Linked DNA regions of Arabidopsis thaliana. The protein of the gene in region 1 purifies or fractionates together with the protein of each later gene. This does not show direct contact. Each region holds a gene or a part of one and is shown on either strand. Other genes may lie near its edges.

Region 1 (6,630 bases):
AATAGGAGGAAATACAAACAAGTGAATTGAAGGTAATATTAGAACCAGGACAACAAAATAAGGATCATCTTTAGATGATGCGTCCTTTGATAAATTAATGTATAACAATTCGTACAATTTTTTGCATGATTTGATATGTCAGTTCGTTGAAAAATGATTTCTGGTCATATACTTTAGAAGGAAGCATACTAATGTAAAGGGCTTTCTCAAAGATATCTTGCAAACGTAGGTTCAAGGATCCACTACTAAAAAGGAAAGGACTAGTCCAAAAAATGTTTGTCTATTGAGGCATTGACAGATGAAAAGTAGCTGCAGCTGGTAATGACAAAGAGAGATGACAACTACTATAATTCGTGCCTAGCTTTTTAAGAACATCTAAACTAAAGTTATCTTACAAGTTGCCCTTTTGGCAAATGACACCAGGTTTTAGTTGCTTGTTTCACTAGAATCTGAAAAACTGTGCACTTACAATATATATTTCTAATAGCAATCACAAAAAACCAAGTCGGGTCTAGTCCAGTAATTTCTAATTAGGGAACAGGCTATCAAAGTTTGAGACTTTAAGCACAGAAACGATCACAGTAAAAGCCAGATACTAGGCAAAAAAAAAGAATAAGAGAAGCAAAAGAGGAACCTTAGAATCTGCTCCAAAGTAAGTCTGCCTTCATTGCGTTGCATCTCAGACTGAACAGACCCAAAGCACCTGTCCATCAAAAGACAAAGAGATCCATCCATCTTCACAACCCCATGGAAAGTACAAACATTCCTACACCACATGGATGCTCTCCGCAAGCTCTCAAGCTGTCCCTGCATCCACTCAACATCCATGTCCTCCGTCAAAGTCATCTTTTTCACCGCCACACGGTGCTTACACCGTCCACCACCGCCTGCAACAGTTGCATCCCACATCTCCACACCTCCAAAACCACCACTACTACTCTCTTCCCCAATCTGCCTCACCAGCTTCATCTCCGGGTGAGCTCCGACCTCGATCACTGGACCACACAAGCTATTAATCGAGCTTGAGGCATGAAATCCACGAGCGGCACGAGCTCCATCTTCATCACTACCATCTTCTTCATCGTCGTCATCCTCATCATCCGTGTAATCGCAATCGAAGTTAGCGCCGCCGGATGCGGCGTGAATGAGAGCAAGCATAGCGTAGTTCTTCCTGAGACCCTGAACAGAGTTCCCAACAACAGACACGTGGCGACACCGGGGACAAGTGAGGGTTGTGTCGGAAGAAGTAGAGAACATCTTGGAAAGACAATCTTTGCAGAAGCCATGGCCGCATTGAAGCAATAAAGGAACTCTCTCATCTTCATTATACCGCGTGTGGCACACGGAACAACAAGGGACCTTGACTCTCCCAACCATGAGAGCTCCGAAAAGAGAAAGCCCTAAATTAATTTAGGTCGCGAGATCAAAGAGTAAGAAGGGAGTGAAAGACCAATCAATTCAGTAGAGAGAGTTCCTCAGAACATATCTGGGGGGGGGGGGGGGGGAAGGAAACTCAGTAAAGTCGATCCAGATCAAGGAGAGAAGAACAGATCCATGGAGAAGAAAGAAAAAGGTGGAATTTTTGAAAGGTAGATCAAAATTGGCTGGGAAAAATCAGACACGAGCAAGCAAGAATAAAAATTGTAAGAAAAATGTGAAAAAGGTTCTTCTTCAGGGTTTTATATCATCATTTTTATTTTTATTTTCATTTTTTTCCAATTTTATTTGGGGTTGAGTCTCGAGGGCTCTCTGGTTTCGTCGGTTTTGACGGGTGGGTGCCGTCAGCACTTGTGCTCGAACCCGTTTATTGACTCTCCTAATAGTAGTAATCGTCAACCATCAGATTTTATATTTGTTGTCATCAACAACTTAAACCATCAGGAAAAAATAATTGTAATTTTTACTGAGAGTTTTTTTTTTTGGCGAAGTTTTTACCAAGTAGCTTTTGAGCCAAATGCAAAAACAAATAGATTGTTTGATCTTGTAATAGAGTTCACCAAATAATGAGACGATAAATCTGACACCAATACCAAAATGTAAACTCGTTGTTTGTTGCTAAGTAGATTACTCGTGTGAGTGTATAACTCATGGACCTAAAACTTGAAGCTCAATAGAGGCTCAAGCCCAAAAAGATGGTTGTTAAAAATCTCAGGATTGTTGGTGGCTTGGTGTGCTTTTGGTTCATCCAACTTGGGTTTAACATTGTATTTAGTCGCCGTTTAATATCTAACGGTTTCAACTTTATGCACTAAATGATTCTCCATTAACCAAATTATTCCAAAAATACATTATTTATCATCATAAAATGGTACCATCGAACAACAATTCTTCATTTTTTCTTTTTCTCCCGCTTTATACTCTCTTCTCCACCTCTCTAACTGCCCCTTTCCTCAAAACCCTAAGCAAGCTTCTCTCACTCAGCAATGGCACCCATTGATCCACACTCTTTCACCGATTCCTCTCATCCTCTCACCACGCATGTCGCTCTCTCCCTCTACCTCGATTTCAACACCTCCATAATCCATGGCTCCGCTCTCCTCACTCTCTCCTCCGCCTTCTCCGGCGAACTCTCTCTTGATACTCGCTGCATTTCCATTGCTATGGTCCTCGATCCTCTCACTCTCGAGCCTATCCCTTACTCCGTCTCCACCACACCGGATCGAATTCGGGGCACCGAAGTTGTCGTAGTCCTCTCCGGTCAATCTTCACTGCTAATTGTCTACTCCACTTCGCCTTCTGCTTCCGCTCTCCAGTGGCTTTCGCCGCTTCAAACTTTCTCCAAATTGCATCCTTATGTCTACACGCAGTGTCAAGCGATTCACGCCAGATCCATTTTCCCATGCCAGGACACTCCTGCCGCGAGGATCCGTTACGACGTCGTTATGAACATACCGAATTCGCTCTCTGCCGTCATGTCGGCTCGCCACGTCCGTCGTAGGCTTGCGGTTCCTGAGGAGGCTAAACATCTCGAGGCTGGGTCGCTGGGGTCGTCACTGTGGTGTGGTGAGGATAGAGTTGTGGAAGAGTTTGCTATGGAACAGCCTATACCGCCTTATCTATTTGCTTTTGCCGTTGGTGAGTTAGGGTTTCGGGAAGTTGGACCTAGGACTCGGGTATACACAGAATCTGCCGCCATTGAAGTTCTAGATGCGGCTGCTCTGGAGTTTGCAGGAACGGAGGATATGATCAAGCAAGGGGAGAAGCTGTTTGGAGATTACGAGTGGGAGAGATTTGACTTACTGGTGCTGCCTCCGAGTTTTCCTTATGGAGGTATGGAGAATCCAAGAATGGTTTTCCTGACGCCTACTGTTATCAAAGGAGACGCCACTGGAGCTCAAGTTGTAGCTCACGAGCTCGCACATAGCTGGACTGGGAATTTGATCACTAATATCAACAATGAACACTTCTGGTTGAATGAGGTAGCTTTGAATTGTCTTGTGCTTTTGCTTCTTTTAGCTACAAATTAGGATGTGTAACTGTGTGTCCGTTTTTAGAGTTTGCCTTGTTGATGGGAAAGTGTTTATTTCATGTTCATGGCAATAGGGATTTACAACTTACGCAGAGAGGAGAATTGTGGAGGTTGTTCAAGGGGCGGATATAGCTACTTTGAACATTGGCATTGGTTGGAGGGGTTTAACTGATGAAATGGAACGGTTTAAGGACAACTTGGAGTGCACTAAACTGTGGAACAAACAAGAAGGTGTTGATCCAGATGATGTATATTCTCAGGTCCCATATGAAAAAGGATTCCAATTTGTGTTGCGAATTGAACGCCAGGTTAGTTGAATTGCCCTCTTCGCTTAGGTGTTTTGTTATGTAATGTTTACAATAATGGTCATCTATTTACTGGAAAACTTTCAGATTGGAAGAACTGCTTTTGACGAATTCCTCAAGAAATACATTGCTACTTTCAAGTTCAAGTCAATCGATACAAACACATTTCTTGAATTCCTGAAAGCAAACATCCCTGGCATAGAGAAAGAGATCAATCTACAGCTGTGGACTGAGGGCGTTGGTATACCAGAGGATGCATATGAACCAGTCTCAACCATTTACACAAAGATCATATCCCTGGCGAAAGAGTTTAAGGAAGGAAAGATGCCAAGTGAGGATGATGTTGCTGAGTGGAACGGACAGGAATGGGAGCTGTACTTGGAGAATCTTCCTAAATCATGTGAACCTTCTCAGGTACTCTTTACTCCTTTCTTCCTCTAAGTTAATGGGAGCTGTACTTGGAGCTGTACTTGCTGAGTGAATCTTTATTTCTTCCTCTAAGATAATGGGAAATGGCTTGACTTAGGTTGAACTACTCAATAAGCTTACATAAGGAGGAGAAAAAGGCCTAACTAACTGTCAGTTAGGTTAGCTCAATAGTTACTCTTGGATTAATGTGGGGCTAGTGAATAATGATTGTGGAAAAACCCTCTTGGCTTTGGGAGAGTTCATGATTGTGGAAAGTGTATTGGCTTTGCAAGAGTTAGGATCTTATCTTGTTTGTTAATGACAATGCTAGTCAACAAAGGAAGGATTGGTGATCAGGTTCAAACCTATGGCTAACACCCACTTTGCTCATTGATGAATCAGGTCATGGCCTTGGACAAGCGGTACAGACTGGCAGAATCGAAAGACTATGAAGTGAAGGTCTCGTTTCTGCAACTTGCAGTCACATCCAAGTGCAGAGAGTACCATGGGGAAGTGAAGAAAACACTAAAAGAGGTAGGAAGGATGAAGTACCTGCGTCCACTCTTCACTGCTCTTGCACAATCTGGTGGAACAGAAGAGAAGCAGCTGGCAAAACAGGTGTTTGCAGAAGCTCGAGAAACTTATCACCCCATAGCTCAGGGAGTTGTTGAATCTATCCTCTCTAAGTACATCTAAACAAGACCGTTATGATAGCTTGAGAGCACTCCGAAAAACAACATTTCAATAAAACTCAGTCACTGTAATAACAATTGGTGCTTGAGAGAGTCATAAACAAAAAATTGAATTGCCTTTTGTTGCGTACATTACATTCTCCAAAAGATTAGTACAAGCTTAACTATGCATTACTCTCATCTTCCAACTTCTTAATGTAAGCCATAAGCACCATTATAACCTCTCTTGCTGGTGCTTGTAAAGTAGTGACGAGATTAATAGCCGGAGATTGCAGAGCACCGAGCATCTTAGCGTAGACCTCAGCACGAGTGGGCATGGTCTCGAGGACTTTGAAATTGTCAGGAGCGTAGAACTTACCTTCGAAGACAGCGCCGGCAAAGTCATTGTTTTCAAGCTTGCGTTCCTTCTGGAAGCTCCGGTAGGGTTTGATAGCAGAAGGGATTTCATCGGTCTGGACGAAAAGCCAAGCGTTCATGCCTTTCATACAAGGCTTGAGAGCTTCCCATTTGGTGCCTTCAATGGCTTTGAAGACCAAAGTGTTCTTGGCGACGATGAGCTTTGTAGTGTCGGGGAGAGTTCTCCGGAGGTCTTGAAACTGCTTGACGGTGAGGCCTTTGTAGTTGATGGCGGCGAGGAGATGGCAGTTCTCCAAGTGAGACTTGACGGCTTCGACAGTCTCTTCCTTCTTGTTACGAGACACCGCGGATCTGATGACCGGGAGGCGAGGGTAATTTGGGGAATTCGAGGTTTTGGGTGTGAGAGTTGAGATTCGCTGGTGACAGAGAGGAGACAAGGAAGAAGAGAAGGAGAGAAGAGCCACTTCCATTTTTTTGCTCAGAAGATGAGGAGACTGTTTCTAGCTGTGTGGAGGAAGAAGATAGATGAACAACAACACAATCCTCCACTAAGCAATTTTATTTTTTTATTTTTCTTAAATGGAAAATAAAATTTATGGATAAAAAAAGGGTTAATAGACGGAATTAGTAACTCCGTCTAATTTAACGCATTGTGTCTTTTAGTCTCTGCTTCTGAATTCTGAACGCAATCCATTGGTAAACTAATCAAATAACTAGACCCAAAATAATTCTATTTTCTTTCTCGGAATTATGGAAGATGTCTCGTCTCGTGTCAAACAAATAATTTTGTAATTTACTACTCAAGTTCATAATTTAACCATTACAAGAAAAAACAGACAAGAAGGGAAGTAAAGGGAGAAGGAAAAAAAAATTAGGCAAAATATTGTTGCTGTATGGATTTGTCCCTATGGTTTGTGTTTTGTGTGTGGATGTGAGTTAGAGAGTGTCCCAATTAGGGATAGTCGCAGTAGCTTCATTCACCATCTTCACAAGTGTCACCTGCACCATCACACAATATGTTATTAAGGACAGTCATTCAATATTACGGTTCTCACTCTCACACTTGATTGACCACAAGCAAAACCGTAACTCCTGAAGATATTACAACTACTTCTAACAGACTTATGCATATCATCTCCCCGGAAAGTAAAACCATTGCAAATTCACAAACTACATCAAACTATGGACGACCATTTGTGTATGACGTTGCTATTTAGTCTCCGGAATCCACTAAACCAATGGACATGATACAAATAAGTTCCCCTTTGAGCTATGAATGGACCTTACTGCAGTATCTTGTTTTAAGCACGATCAGATTATAGAGGTTTATATATAACATACCACACTTTCGGGAACACCGGGAGGCGGCAAGGACATGTTCCTTGGAGGAGGACCCCGC
Region 2 (6,855 bases), 6.5 Mb from region 1:
TATTAGAAGAGAAATTAGGCTGTGAAAGAATAAAAGACAAATGACTTAGAGATATTATTTCCTTTCATTTTTGGTGGGTTGTTGAATTCATTTTTTTTTGTTTTAAAGAATATTGAGAGATTAATTTAATATATGTTTTCCATTGTTTGTGCGGCTTGCCAAAATGAGAAAGTTAGGTCCGTTGGTGTGATTCAACATAAACTGATTAGGTAGTGGATGCACAATAAGTGCTCGGGCAAGTGTGGGCTAACCTATGAGGAAAGAAATATGGTTATCGTCAATGTCGCAAAATCTTGTCCAAAAGAGAGATGTCTGAGAGTGTTGTGGAAGGATGTAGATTTAGAGAATATATTCTTCTTATTGATCATAAACATGTGTACAAAGTATATATAGAGAGGAGATTGTCGAGATAAACCTAACCGACTATACATGTTAATATACAAACTCACAAAGCCCATATAATCTAACTTAGCCCAATAAAGGAGAGTAAAGTGAGGTGTTGGTGGAAACTAATTCATCTCTAAAAATCTGGAGAAATCGGACAAAGATGATGAACTTGATGATCAATATAGTTTAGGCTTTTAGGGAAGTGTGAAGATGAACTTGATGATCAAATTTTAGTTAACCCAAGTTAAATTTGGGTTGAGTTAAATGCTTCATTTGCTTTTGCATATGATATAAAAGGTGATTTGGGCTCATTTGAGAAGCGACACGAAGAAGAGTGAGAGCAAGAGCAAAACCACAACAAAAAATTGGGTGATTGTTGAGTTGATGATTTGAAATATATCGATTGTCTTATTTTAGATGCATAAATGAATATTTGTAGTATGATGCTAACGTCAAAGATTTTTGAAAAAACACTGATAACATATATATTCAAAGAAGCTAACAATTGAGCCGAAAGTTGCTTAATTGTTTTGAGATTTTACTATGCTTTTCCTTTTGATTTAGTGGTTTTTTTCTTAGTTTTGGATTAAGTTTAAGCTTTATTTCCTTTGATATTATTTAAAATAATAAAAAAACATTATATGTTATGTTATAATAATATCGTCCTTATCTCATATTTGTTTTTTGATAAAATGTATATTCAAAATTTAAAATAGTAAATACGTTATTTTTCGGATCATCTCGAGTCTAAGACCAAATCTTAGAACATGGATAAAAATCTCAAATTTTAGATATTTTGCTGATCGGGAGAGTTGCATAAAAAAAGCAATATATAAACTTAAAACCTTATGATTTATTACGTGTGACATTTTTGACCGAGGAATGGGATAAAGAAGTGGATGGAAGAGAAAGAATGGTGAGTCACCGTGAGTGATCCCTAACCTCTAGAGATGTGTGAATAGATGATAAGATGCAAGAAAAAACACAAGCCACTTACTTGTACTGGTCCGTGAGAGGACCACGACATCAACTTGACTATGATGATAAACATACATACTGTGAATGAAAGGACCACAATAATATGATAACAGACTTAACAATGCAAGCAAACTTTTTCAACTAAACATAAACAAGGATTAGCAGAATAGAAGGAACCAAAATCCAAAACACTTATTATTGCTTTTTTAATAGGAAGCTACCTAAAAATATATCTAAACATTTTGCTGAACTTAAAAGGCCATATTTGAGCTTGACTTATACTTTGGTGAACTTCACTCTTTTCCATCAGCCGCGCGGAGTGAGCCTAGCTGAACCGGTGCTTGAGTTCCAACCACCTTTGATGACCCGTAAAGCGACACATCGCTTCCCTTTGCTTTCTCTTTCTCGATCTGTTCCTTTATCCAGAAGTAGGTTATTCTAAGCCCCTCCTGTTTAACGATTATGGTCAAAACAATATCAGTAATAAAAGAATTAGATTATTATCTTGTCTTTGAGCTACTTAAGTAAATAATGTTGGTACCTTCAATCTCATATTAGGAGCCCAACCAAGCTTTTCTTTGATCAGATTGTTGTCTGAGTTACGACCACGAACACCTTCCGGGCCAGGAATGTGGTGAATTGGAAGCTTCTTTTCCTCAAAGCTGAGAACCATCTCAGCCATCTCATTCATGCTCACCATCTCATCGCTTCCGATGTTCACCGGCTCACGGAAATCTGATTTTGTCAACCTATAAAACAAAAATGACGAAAATATCAGCCAATTACGTCTAACATACAACTTCATCAACATCAGGAGATACCCTCACCTGAGTACACCTTCAACACACTCATCGATAAAGGTAAAAGAACGGGTCTGAAGCCCATCTCCCCACATCTCAAACCTATCAGTGGAAGTCTGAGCCTTCCTACAGAAAGCAGCTGGAGCCTTCTCCCTTCCACCTAAGTTGATCCAAGCAAATATTAATCCCAATAGTAAACAACTAATCATTCACACAAAGTACGGAAACTGTTTATCTGTATACTACCTTTCCATGTTCCAAAAGGACCATAAATGTTATGGAACCTTCCAATTCGACACTCAATACCAAAATCTTTGTTGTAATGCTTACACAACTCCTCCGTAGCAAGCTTCTCCAAACCATAAGCATCTTGAGGCTATATCAGCATCAAAACATCACATAAGAAAAGACTCATAAATCTTTAGCAAGAACATATAAAAAATAATCACAAACCTCTGCAGGCCAAGCATCTGACTCCTTCAAGCTCACATTAGTAGTCTCCAACTGCTTAAACTCTGGATAGATACAAGCACTCGAAGCATAAAAGAACCTAAAGCAAACAAAAAATCCAATCTTTTTAACTTGTTTTAAGAAACCGTAAACTGCGAAAACCGAAGAAAACAAAATCTAACTAACCTCTTAATCCCATTGATCCTAGCAGCCTCAATCATATTGAAACTAATCATAGTATTATTATACATAATCACAGAGTGATTACTCTGGATAAAACCCATACCACCCATATCAGCAGCTAAGTTAAAAACATGATCAACTCCTTCAGTAACTTTGAGACAATTCTCCATAACCCTAAGATCAACAAGATGGAACTCATCACAGAACATGTCTTCAGTCATGTGTTCATTCTTTTTCCAGTCAGAAGCAATCACGTAATGACCTTCGTGCTTCAAACGACGAGCAATGTGAGATGCAATGAAACCTCCAGCTCCTGTTATTGATATCTTGAGATTCTCAGATGGCCAATATTGCTCTCTTTCTAGCTCCTTGTATGTGTATGCTCCATAGTCTGTTCCATTGGTAGTTCCCATTCTACATTAACAAAACAAATCTGTTAAAAACAATAAGATCTCTCATGCAAAAGCTAGACATCACTGTAGAGTCCTAATTTGTGATAAATTTCTATAAAAAAGATTTGGGATTTAGAGAGTTTTGACAGAGGTAAGATTATTGATGCATTGGATTCCGGCGTAAGTTAGCGAAAAACACAAAACTGCGAGGCGTAAGTTAGCCAAAAACACACAAAATTGCAAAACAAATCTGTTAAACACAATAAGATCTCTCATGCAAAAGCTAGAAATCACTGTAGAATCCTAATTTGTGATTAATTTCTGTAAAAAGATTTGGGATTTAGAGAGTTTTGACAGAGAATGCATTGGATTCGGTGTAAGTTAGTGAAAACACACAAAATTGCGACGCTTAAGTTAGCCAAAAACACACAAAATTGCAAAGAAATATGTTAAACACAATAAGATCTCTCATGCGAAAGCTAGAAATCACTGTGGAATCCTAATTTGTGATAAATTTCTGTAAAAAGATTTGGGATTTAGAGAGTTTTGACAGAGGATGCATTGGATTCGGCGTAAGTTAGCGAAAAACACAAAATTGCGAGGCGTAAATTAGCCAAAAACACAGAATTGCGAAATTCGGATCTCAGAGAAGTTTTGATTCAGGAATCTGGGATTTTAAAACCCTAGATTAGTGGAATTGTAAGGAAGATTGGATCTTTTACCTGAGGAAGGTTTTGGAGAGTTGGAGAGATCGAAGAGATAATGCAGAGAAGAGTCAGAGATTTGAGGAAGAGGAAGAGTAAACTTGTATTTATAGAGAGAGAACAGAAGAAGATGAAGAGGAAGATGGAGAGAGCAACACCACTCGTTGTTTTAGTTTTCCAACTCCTATTGGTATTTGTGCCTCTTTCTGTTAAATTTATTTTATAACTAATAAAATCCTTCGAAAAAAAAAATTAATACTTCTTTTGTAGAGAGTTTTTTAGAAAATAGGAGATTTTATAGAAGATTTATTACTTTTTATTAGGTTTGATGATTTATATTATGCATATTATTTTTACTATTTGTTGAATCGTATTTAGATAGATAATAAGAAATGTTTTAGTTTAGAAAAAAAAAAAAACTAAATATTTTCTTTATTGGTGCACCAAACAATTTCATAATTTTTTTATTTTCTAGCTTCAATATATAAAAATATTTGTAAATAATAAATATATGTATATTCTATATATTAATTGAGAAGTTTTTTTAATAAAATATTTATATTGGCGTGTTATTAACGAAACCGTCATGTTGTGATTCTAATCCATTTAAATAATTGTCCAAATTTTACTAGATTATTACAGATTTTTCAATTAGTCTTATTCATACATATATATAATACACATTAAAAGGAAATTCTTATAAAATTCAAATAATTAAGCAATTAATCTTTAAATAATTATTATTTTGAGAAAAATTACTTTAATTTTTGTTATTTTCTAATTAACTAAAACACTATTTAACATATTTTGTATTTGCAAATAATAGTACATCTTCATATATTAAGAAATGTGTTGTAATAAATTTTTATTAAATATATAATTATTTTGTTATTTTAGTGATATATACTGTATTGAATAATTATAATGTACACATAAAAATATAAAATATTATTTATGTTTGTTTATGACATAAGAGCAACCATAAGTCCATTTTTGGAGTTTGAAACTGAAGAGTAAATTAGAAAAAAAAATCTTAAATTAAAATATAATATAAGTTAGATTGATGTTAAAAATTATTTATATAGTTATAGTATATATATAACCTAAACTATATTAGTTGGTTGAAATATTTGAAATAATAATGATTTTAGTAGTATTTTAAAGTTCATAACAATCAAACGGTCGAACCGAGATCAAACTGATTCGAGTTAATGGTCAGGTAGATTTTTATTAAACTTGTAAACTATCAAACCGTATATAAAACCATTAAAATGATTAAATACGTTTGCGAGAAATATAAATATTTAGAGATAGGCGTAATTCTCATTCAATTTTATCATGTTCCATTATATCTTACTCGTTCTCCAATTTATTTCTCATAAGAGAATGCATTTCTAATATGAGAAAAAATTTGTATTCCGATTAGAAACAGAACGTGATGGAAGCAAAAATTCTCTATATCCTGTTTGGGACAAACACAAATATAATTCATGTATATTTTTATATGATATGATATAATAAAAATATTACAAAATTAATTGACTTCTTTCTTCTTATTGTTTAATATTTTGTTCATAAATATTAAATTACATTTGTTTATTTTTAAATTTTAACTATTATAAAGCATACTATAATAACATTTATTATTTTGAGCATTTTTATGCTGTATAAATTGAAAACACATGTTACATATTTGATTGCAAACGTTAATTTGCTTAAATTGTAACTTGTTGTAATCTAAAAGCTATGTTTTTATCCCGTGTTGGCTCCTTCTATGTCGTTCCTTTTTCGTCATTCCTATTCTCGTTATATTACATTAAATATCATGTTCCGAGTTCATTTTTACTTATCTTTAAACACAATACCAGATACAGCTGTAACTTTTGGGGATTAACATATGCTTTGTTAAAATTTGTAAACATACCATAAATTAAAACATGAAAACAAATTGAAAAAATAAATGATCTATCAACTATAATATGTCATACTCATACATTTGTTCTTGTGTACGTGCACATATATGAAAACAAAATTATATTTACTATTTAATATAAATAAATAAACACCGACTTGATATATTATCTCAAATCCAGAAATCCTCTTGTTGATATAATATATAATTAATCAAATATATATATTTGAATTTATTTGATAAACTTTCTTAACTTCAAGAAACAAATCTTAACAATATCATAAAACTAAGAGATAGTTTAATGTGAATAAATTTAGAGAATTAGTTTGAACTAATTGCAAAAACTGTGTAAATTTAAAAATAGCTTGTAATTAGTTAAATTAGTCATCTTGATCTAAATTCAATAGTTCCTTAAATTTGCATTAAAATTACAACATTGGTATTTAAATTTATTTTAATGTTATTTCAAAAAGAAAATAATCAATTCTAGAAGAATGTGTATTCCAAAATCTTGTAACAATTTGATACAAAATAAAATAATTTATTTGATTTGAAATTGAATAATTTATCTGGCTCTAAATAAAACAATCAGATATATTAATTATTATAATTCTTTTTAAAAAATATATTAAAAATTTGGGTTAATTATATATTTAAAATAATGAAACTACCCGTTTTTAAAAACAAAAAAATATATTCTAAAACTTTATATCATTGAAACTCTAATTAAATGTTAAAATATTTTAATATACCCTGGAAATATTTTCTAGATATTTAGAATCCAAAAAATAAGTTTTTGAATAAGCTGTATTTTAAATGATAGAAGTATTTCGTTTAGATTATATACGACAAATATAATAAATGTTTTTTCATATCTGAAAAATCATAATTGAAAAATCTTTTTTGTCATGTATACAAATGAGATTTAATTAGCATAGTTTTGTTAAGGAAGATTTTAAAATCTAAACGAAATGATAATTTGTTATTAGATTGCCATATTCGAAAATATCTAATAATATCTTACGAAAATAATTTAGTTTACATATATG

Evidence for each region.
Region 2: the proteins of AT5G13520 (region 1) and GME fractionate together in Arabidopsis thaliana (co-fractionation; one large-scale study listed by BioGRID). This does not show direct contact.

Annotation. Positions count from the first base shown.
Region 1 is NC_003076.8:4,340,365-4,346,994, reverse strand, and holds AT5G13520 (peptidase M1 family protein), read left to right. Parts: upstream 1-2,202; 5' UTR 2,203-2,423; coding exon 2,424-3,419; intron 3,420-3,543; coding exon 3,544-3,777; intron 3,778-3,861; coding exon 3,862-4,188; intron 4,189-4,584; coding exon 4,585-4,878; 3' UTR 4,879-5,038; downstream 5,039-6,630. Other genes in the region: KEG (protein kinases;ubiquitin-protein ligase), read right to left, coding at 635-1,377; EMB3136 (Ribosomal protein L10 family protein), read right to left, coding at 5,039-5,701; AT5G13500 (Hyp O-arabinosyltransferase-like protein), read right to left, coding at 6,168-6,230, 6,573-6,630. UniProt on the Arabidopsis thaliana protein: Aminopeptidase that preferentially cleaves di- and tripeptides. Also has low epoxide hydrolase activity (in vitro).
Region 2 is NC_003076.8:10,860,814-10,867,668, forward strand, and holds GME (GDP-D-mannose 3',5'-epimerase), read right to left. Parts: upstream 4,134-6,855; 5' UTR 3,913-4,133; intron 3,232-3,912; exon of another isoform or gene 3,213-3,231; 5' UTR 3,212-3,212; coding exon 2,802-3,211; intron 2,716-2,801; coding exon 2,619-2,715; intron 2,542-2,618; coding exon 2,412-2,541; intron 2,326-2,411; coding exon 2,193-2,325; intron 2,115-2,192; coding exon 1,907-2,114; intron 1,815-1,906; coding exon 1,659-1,814; 3' UTR 1,203-1,658; downstream 1-1,202. UniProt on the Arabidopsis thaliana protein: Catalyzes a reversible epimerization of GDP-D-mannose that precedes the committed step in the biosynthesis of vitamin C (L-ascorbate), resulting in the hydrolysis of the highly energetic glycosyl-pyrophosphoryl linkage.